Nothobranchius furzeri: one gene and its partner. The protein of the gene in region 2 interacts with the protein of the main gene of each other region in a biochemical or structural test. Links are inferred from orthologs where the notes say so. Each region holds a gene or a part of one and is shown on either strand. Other genes may lie near its edges.

What was found.
Region 1: of the proteins of myb (region 2) and nlk2, one has a biochemical effect on the other in vitro, tested with the Homo sapiens proteins (2 studies listed by BioGRID, with this or other methods). The link is inferred for Nothobranchius furzeri from reciprocal best matches to the Homo sapiens genes MYB and NLK.

What each region holds. Positions count from the first base shown.
Region 1 is NC_091753.1:61,281,581-61,285,399, reverse strand, and holds part of nlk2 (serine/threonine-protein kinase NLK), read left to right. Parts: intron 1-3,450; coding exon 3,451-3,552; intron 3,553-3,819. UniProt on the Homo sapiens protein: Serine/threonine-protein kinase that regulates a number of transcription factors with key roles in cell fate determination. Positive effector of the non-canonical Wnt signaling pathway, acting downstream of WNT5A, MAP3K7/TAK1 and HIPK2.
Region 2 is NC_091742.1:436,934-441,270, forward strand, and holds the start of myb (transcriptional activator Myb), read right to left. Parts: upstream 2,941-4,337; 5' UTR 2,710-2,940; coding exon 2,687-2,709; intron 1,147-2,686; coding exon 1,029-1,146; intron 899-1,028; coding exon 827-898; intron 699-826; coding exon 606-698; intron 1-605. UniProt on the Homo sapiens protein: Transcriptional activator; DNA-binding protein that specifically recognize the sequence 5'-YAAC[GT]G-3'. Plays an important role in the control of proliferation and differentiation of hematopoietic progenitor cells.

The DNA of each region.
Region 1 (3,819 bases), on a different chromosome or scaffold from region 2:
GTAACAGGAGCTTCTGCAGCCAGAATGCCACCAAATCAACCATTTATTCAGGTGGAATAAAACCCAGACCCACATGTTTTTAAACCCAAGCATAAGTTTGATCCCAGGCAAAAATAGGATATCAAAACCCCCAACCTCCCATTATCCGGCAATGTGATGGCATCATGTAGTAAGTAAATTTTATTTGTTTAGCACTCATCACAGACATGGAATCACAAAGATCTTCACATAAATCGAAATAAAACATAAATCATAAAAGAATATTTAGATTAAAATCAGAAAAATTAAGTCATAAAATTATATAATACCATAAAACAAATGAAAGAAGATTTCTAATTTGAGTTAAAAATAAGAAAACAAAAGATTTAGGTAAAAGCAACTTTAAATAAAAGGGTTGTCAGCTGTTTTTTAAAAGTGTGCAGACTGCCAATGCTACGTAAGGAAAAAGAAAGAAAGTCGAGGTGCAACAGTCTGGAAGGAGCGATCACCTCGACTTTTATATCTGGTCCGTGGAACTTCTAGAAGGTTCTGGTGGGTGGACGTGAGGGCTCGGGTTGGAGCATAAGGCTTTAACAGTTCAGTAATATAGGGAGGAGCTTGACCCTGTAGATTCCATCTTTCAGTTCTTTTTAAAACACAGAAAAGGTTTAATTACCTGCAACGTTTCGTTTGCGGCTGCAAACATCATCAGGTTGACGCCGTTGACCATGTAGAGCAGGGATTCCCAAGCTGCCGCTAGGGGGTGCGCAAGGTGAAAAGTGTAATGGCTGCGGAGCTCAGAGAAGTCTGTCAAAAGTCACCATAAAAGGTTGGTTTATGCTTGACGCGTCCGCAAGGTCCGCGCGGAAAAGTTGCGTCATTTTAACAACCACGCCCCTCCACCGCGCCTCCGCACGGCCCAGAATTTCCGCAACGCACACATCGGAAAATGTCTAACCACGCAGACGGTCGGACGCGGAAAAACATGGCTGACTGGCAAGAACTAGTATGGCAGAGGTTCGTAAATACAGACATTTGTATGATTCAGCTCTCAGAGATCACCGTGATCAACATGTTGTAAATAATTCTTGGAGAGAAATAGCTCGCACTGTCGGAAAAGACGAGGACGCTGTTAAATATGCTGGAATACCATGTTGTAAACAGTAATTTCTACTTCTACTATGGTGAAGTGTTGGGTGCATGCCGTAGAGCTCCATGCTGCCCCGTTCAGTTTGGGAGAATATTGGCTCACCGCAGAGACGAGCCGCACGAACCATAAACGCTGCGAGTTGTGAAGCGCGTTCCATCCGCGAGCCGCATCACCGCGCGGAAAGTAAATGCGTCAAGCATAAACCAAGCTAGCGTAGCCAGAAACTCATTTGTGGGTGGACCTAAGAAAATGTAAGTGGGCCCAATAAATGTAATTGAAAACAAGTATATTTTGCTTGTGTGTGTGTGTGTGTGTGTGTGTGTGTGTGTGTGTGTGTGTGTGTGTGTGTGTGTGTGTGTGTGTGTGTGTGTGTGTGTCCTCCGCACATGCCCTAGCTCAGGAGTCGGCAATCCGCGGCTCTGGAGCCGCATGCGGCTCTTCCATACATCTGATGCGGCTCTCTGTGTTTGTAAAATAATTAATGGATATTTAAATAAAATGCTTTATATTTTACTGCATTAATTTTACATCTGTAAGCTAATTCTAAATGTAAAGATTGTCTGCGTAAACCTGAACAGTTCCAACCCGGTCTTACTGTGAGACCGGGTTGACGCATCACGCTTGTGAGTAATCATATTGGCGCTTCCTGAGCTGAAGACGATGTGAGATTCTGGGACTCTCCTCAGACGCCACATTGGAGACAGGAACAAGCACAATTCAGCCAAAGTTTCATCATCAGGGAACATTTTCTAAGTGACAAGTCTCTCTGAGAGACCGGGTTTGGAAAACTCTCGCTTCAGTGGAAGGAATCTTCCCGCATGCACTCTGGTTCTGCAACGCGCTCCAAGCCCCTCTCCACATCTTCAGCTTGCTGTGCACCGTACGTATGCACTGACAGTGAGCTCCGCTGAGCGGTGTCCAGCTCAGATGTTCAGAAGGAAATCTTTTCTTGAGTGATTTAGTTACATCTGCGATTTGCGAAACGAGTAAAGTGTCAGTTCGTCTGCATGTGTTGGGGTAATTATTTCTATTCTTTCTCCGTCAAAATAAACGGCCAAATATGGGAACTGTCAGGTCAACACAAGCCCTGCTTTTAACTGTTCTGTTTTCTTGTGAAAATTGTTACAAATTTAACTTGATTACCACCAGAGCCAGGCGCACTGCGCCGTTATCTCCGTCACTGTAAATGAGGGAAAAACAAAATGATCGGATCCTTTTCTGACCTTCCCCACCTACAAAGTTTAATTACAACAATCAAACGTGACAGAGCCTGGATTTGTATTCTGAACAGTCTAAACATGTTTTAAAAAGAAACGTATGACAAAAGTGGCACCTGCTCAGTAAAACCACCAACAGGGTGAAAAATATCAAAATATTGTCGGCAGAGACGGGCTACAACTTCCGGATCCACTTTATATAAATCGTTTTATTGATTATCTTCTTATGAAAGATAGCTTTGACGTACACGAGCGACCGGTACTGGCTGCTGTCACCTGTTGTGAGCAGCGCTCTGCTGTCTGAGGGTAGGCCCCGCCCACAATGCCGCGGCTGCTGCGGTGTTTTCTTTACTGTGGGAAACGGGTAATAATGGCTCTTTTATGGGAACAGGTTGCCGACCCCTGGTTTAGCGTGACGTCTGATATATATATATATATATATATATATATATATATATATATATATATATATATATATATATATATATATATATGGGGCTGGGGGTGCGTCAACATGGTCGGGACATAGAAGGGGGTGCGCGGCTAAATAAGTTTGGGAACCACTGATGTAGAGCCCTGATAGTTCTAGTCAGGACTCTAAAATGAACTCTAAAGTTAACGGGTAACCAGTGCAGAGACATCAGAATAGGAGTGATGTGTGCTCTTCTGTTTGCTCCAGTTAGGAGTCTCGCTGCAGAGTTCTGGACCAACTGAAGGCGGCCAAGGGCTTGTTTGTTAAAACATGTGAAGAGTGTGTTACAGTAATCTAGACGGGAGGAGATAAAGGCATGGAGAACCATTTCAGGTTCATGTTTTGACCCCAACCTTCACAGTTTGGAGATATTTCTTAAATGATAAAAACAGTTTCGGACCAGCGTTTTTGAGTGACCTTCAAGAGACATTGATTGGTCAAAAACACCCAAATTCCTTAAGTTTGTCCCGACGGCAGAAGATAAATGACCAAGTTTTAGACTAATCAGGGGAACCCTGCTATCTTCTAGCCAGCTGGTGATAGCTGATAGACACTAGTAATTCAGACAGTTTACATATGTAAGGTTCAGTGGAGTGGTATGTGTGATTTAATGGTTTTACATTTGTGTTCAGTTGGATTTAATCACTGACCTGTTGGGAACACCTTCTATGGAAGCGATGCGGACAGCATGTGAAGGGGCTCGTGCACACATCCTCAGAAGTGCTCACAAACAGGTGAAGTACTTTTAAACAAGTATATAGACTTCTGTCTCTTTTAAATCCTTAACCCATTAAATAACACCAAACAGACACCTGACTAAATCATGTCATCATTATCAGTCACTTTGGGAGACAGCTGCAGAGGAGTGAAGTTCCTGCTGCGTATCTGGAGGGTTGCAGGCTTGCTGCTGGCTCACTAGTGTCCTTGAGCAAGGCACTCTGCTGGTGGTGTCTGTGTACAGCAGCACCACCCCGTCAGCATTCACCAGAGCTGCTGTGGCT
Region 2 (4,337 bases):
GGAAGAACAATGAAAAGGAAGTAGATGGCAGAGGATTGGGAAAGGGGAAGGAAAAAGTAATAATAGTGAGGAGAGGGAGAAGTTAAGGGGGAGTGAAGATATGACAGTAAGGGGGGGGGGGGGGGATGAAAGAACAAATAGAATAAAAAGTTTAATAAAGCTGCATGAGCTGTTAGAGATGTTTACAGCTTTATGAGGCTTCTCCCCGGCCCTCGACTTTCTTCTCGGAGGTGAGAGAGAACACCTGCCAGAGAGGGCCGAGGGAGTTTCCTGTGCAACATTAGCCGCTCTGCTAATCGTTTCAGTGGCATCTGGCTGGAAATGCAACTCCTTAGATTTAGCTCAATAAACACCCGCTGCTTGGATGAGATTAAACAAGACATATGTTGTGTAACAAAAAATGTGCAAGAGCATACAAAGAATTGCCACAGAGGGGGTTGCTTTAATCTAACAGGAACATAAAGTATTACAACTTATTACAACTTATACATTACAACTTATTTCCTGTGAGTAAAAACCCTACTTTTGTTTCTAGCAGGTTCCTAGAGATGTTAATGGCTCTCTGGAAACTGATGTTATTAATCATCACTTCTATGTTTTCCTACCCTCTGGTCCTCCTCTTTGGTCCAAGGTCCTTTTATGAGTTCTGGGTTGAGAACCTTCTGCCACCTGTGCTGGCACTGCACGTCCGTTCGATTCTGAGTGGTTTAGAGCACAAAAAGGCATTTTATTATTTTGTGCATATTTAAATCCAGAGCTCTGATGGAGATGCACCTCAGCTTTTGGCTTTCACATCATTTATTTACCTCCAAGGCAAGCTACTTACAGTTAGTAGGCTTGCAATGACTTTCCAGTCTTCAGATCCATGAAGTTCAACAAGTTTCTTCAGCTTGTCATCCTGAATGAGACAGAAAACATGTTTGCTGAAGAGGTCAAACATCTGCTGCAGTTGCAGTAACAAATGCATTAAAACGTGGGGTTCACACATTCCTAGAGTGAATGCCGGCAAAAAGTTGAATTTTGAATACCTCCTCTCGCGTCCAGCGAGTTTTGCCAAGGTGACGCTTCCCTGTCTTGGCCAGTGACCCGTCATAGTCGTGTTCATACAAATCTGTCTCCTCCTCATCCTCCTCGCTGCTGTAAACACTGCAGAAATAAACAAAGGTCAGAGATTAAATGAGGTGGAGTCTGTGTGAAAAGTGTTGCATGATATCTGATAATAATGGGAGAATGAACTTTATGTCTATTGATACATAACTCCTTAATAAGCTCTTTAGAGAGAACATAAAGAAGTCAACCCGCTGTTTAGCTCATCAGGTGTCAAAGACAGACAGAGAACCAGTCATTCTTGAAGGTTTGGGTGCAGGCCTGGAGCCAAGACACCCACAAGCAGAAAAAAAAAAGACCGAAGGAAAGAACAGCAGCCTGGAGGGAGGAGGGGAGGGAGGGAGAAGGATGAACAGGTTCCAGTGTTTTTGGTTTCCACAGATACTGGGATTGGCACATGTGATCATAATTTTGTGACCCTGGCGTGTTCAGACCTGCACAGGTATTGTACAGCGTGCACACACACACACACAGTGTTTGGTTAACCAATCAAGATGTCGGACCAAAAGAATGTGGAAGCTAGGTAGCTTCAGAGTGAGCAACAGGTGTACAACCCCCCTCTGCGGTGTCAGTCAAGGTTATTTATTGTGTTATCGTCCTCCTATTCTTTTATTATCCATTAACTGGACATTTTGACTTAATGAGCAGCAAAAAATCCACTGACAAACATACAAGAGACCCCTGATGCACAGCACAAAGAATACATGTAATAAAACAAGATCAGAGACATCATGATTAACCTTGTTTGGGCACAACATTACAGATAGATTCAAAAACGTATTGCATTTATGGTTTCTATCATGTTATAAGTGAGTATATTTCATTTTAACATCCATATGGAACTGAAAACCATCGATGGGATTCTGAACAGCAGAATTTATGTCATAATGATCAGAAAGACACAGACCGTCTAACTTGAGGTAGGTGGGTTTGTTTTTCTTTAAATATTTTAGTAAACAGAGCACGCGCTGTTGAGGACGTTGTGAAAGCGCTGTTTCCAAAATAACCGAGCGCCTCTTGCTTTCAGTGATGCTGCTGAACACTTCAGGCTGGTGCTGAGTGACCTTTAGACTGGATTCATTTGAGCAGTTATGCGTTAAATGGGACGAAAACGAAAGTAACAGAATGCGTTCGCGGCCGCATTGAACGCAACACACCAGAATGCAAAAACACAAACCCTGAAACTGCTTTCAGTCTAATAGTATGCATAATATCTGCGATATCTTTGAAACACCTGCGTCTGTTCACCGTATTGCTCCGCAGCGTGGCATCAGCGCGCGTGTGTGTCACCGTGACAGCAGCGCGAGGAGCGCACATGCCAGATGACCACCACCTGTCATTGGCGCGAGCCTCCCTCGCAAGGAAAACATAACACTCACAAATACAAAAATAATAATAATAACTCAACGAAAATTATCTAACTTTTCTCCTTCTGCTTTTAGGGAAAAGCGCGTGCCCTGTCAGAAAAGATGCACCTTTAAGTGCTCCGCTTCACGCTAAAAACACAACAACTGCGATGAAATATGATGAAAAAGTTCTGAATTATGAGGTTTAAAGTAAGTTTTCAGTGGAAGCCCACCTGTTTCTCGGCCGCCGAGTCATTGTTGAGTCGGGACAGCGGCTTCCAGCAGGTGGTGCCGAGCATGTACCTTCGCTGTCAGCGCGGAGCTTCTTCTCCCAGCGACCAGGAGGCTGACATTAACTTAAACTGGTGTGGCAGACTCCGGGGAGTTCCTCCTCCCTCCCTTCCTTCGCATCCCGGGCAATTTGGCGCTACTCAGGCTTTTCGCTCCAGTGCGCATGCTCAATACACCGTCTACTCCACTTGCAGTCGTAATTTTCTTTATCTGTATTTAAAAACACACAAAAAAAAATGTGATTAATGGAAATGAAAGAAATTTTGCAACGAGGTAAAACATTACATTCTAAAATTGAGTAAACTTAAATTTTAGCTAAAAAATAAAACAATAACCACTGGGCTCACTCTACTAAGAAATAAATTCAGTGTTACATTGAATGCACCATAAAAATAAATGGCATATTAAAAGTTAATACGTGTCAATTGAATAACTTCCCGCGTTTAGTTCAGTTTTGTCCTATACATAATTAAAATATAATACAAATGTGCGCAACAAAGTGGTGTTAACATTTACACAATTATAGTGAAGTACTACCCACCTCCTCACACACACACACACACACACACACACACACACACACACACACACACACGCACGCACGCACGCACACAAACACACACACACACACACACGCAAACACACACACACACACACACACACACACACACACACACACACACACACACACACACACACACACACACACACACACACACACACAGCCTGGTCGTGCGCGCAGAACACTTTCCATTGAGCAATGTGCATTGCTTCTCTTTTTCCTATGAAAAGAAGAAGGAGAGTGTTGGCATTCGGACGGAGAGAACAATAAGACAGGGTTTGCATGCGACAAGAGCGAAGTAACAGCACCTGTTCGTGGAGCGCTCACGGTGGAGTTGCAGATGTTTCCCTGTGATAAAGCTTGCAACAAAACCTTGTCTTATCGTCCCGCGACAAAACGCGCTCCCTTCTCTCCTACATAAACAAAGTTCATGAAACCCAGTAGCAATAAAACTATTTGTGGGGATTTATTGCGCTTTTAACTCATATGTTATCTGACTATTTTATTGCCTTTAGGGTTTTCTTCAAGTTTCTTCTTTAGTTCTGCATGCCAATTAATGCAAATAACCCACATTTAAATTAAACAGGTTCAACCTGTTTTTCAGCAACCTGAATGATGAGGAATAAATACTGTTCTTGCATGACTTAATTATCTCTAATTTATTATAATTATTTTATTTTCCAGTAAGGCTGACCGTGTGCTATGACAATTTTGTTTTGGCTGATTTTTCTTTTCACCCTGATCCAGGGCTGTTCTTGTTCAACCATTCATTGCAAGAAAGGAGGGGGGCTTAAAGCTTTATTTGTACAAATGTGTCTTCTCATTGTATTAGTTCCTCCATACGCGACCTTATTGTCCTGGTCACTTGTAATTATCATCACCCCAGAACAGCCTATTGTCCCAGGATAGTTTTCATAATAGCTGGCTGACAAAGGGCTACAGACATGTGTGTGCACATGTTGCCACAGACAGAAAATTGCCCTATTTGATGCAGCATGCAGTGCATTTAACACATAGTCCTGAGAGTTAAT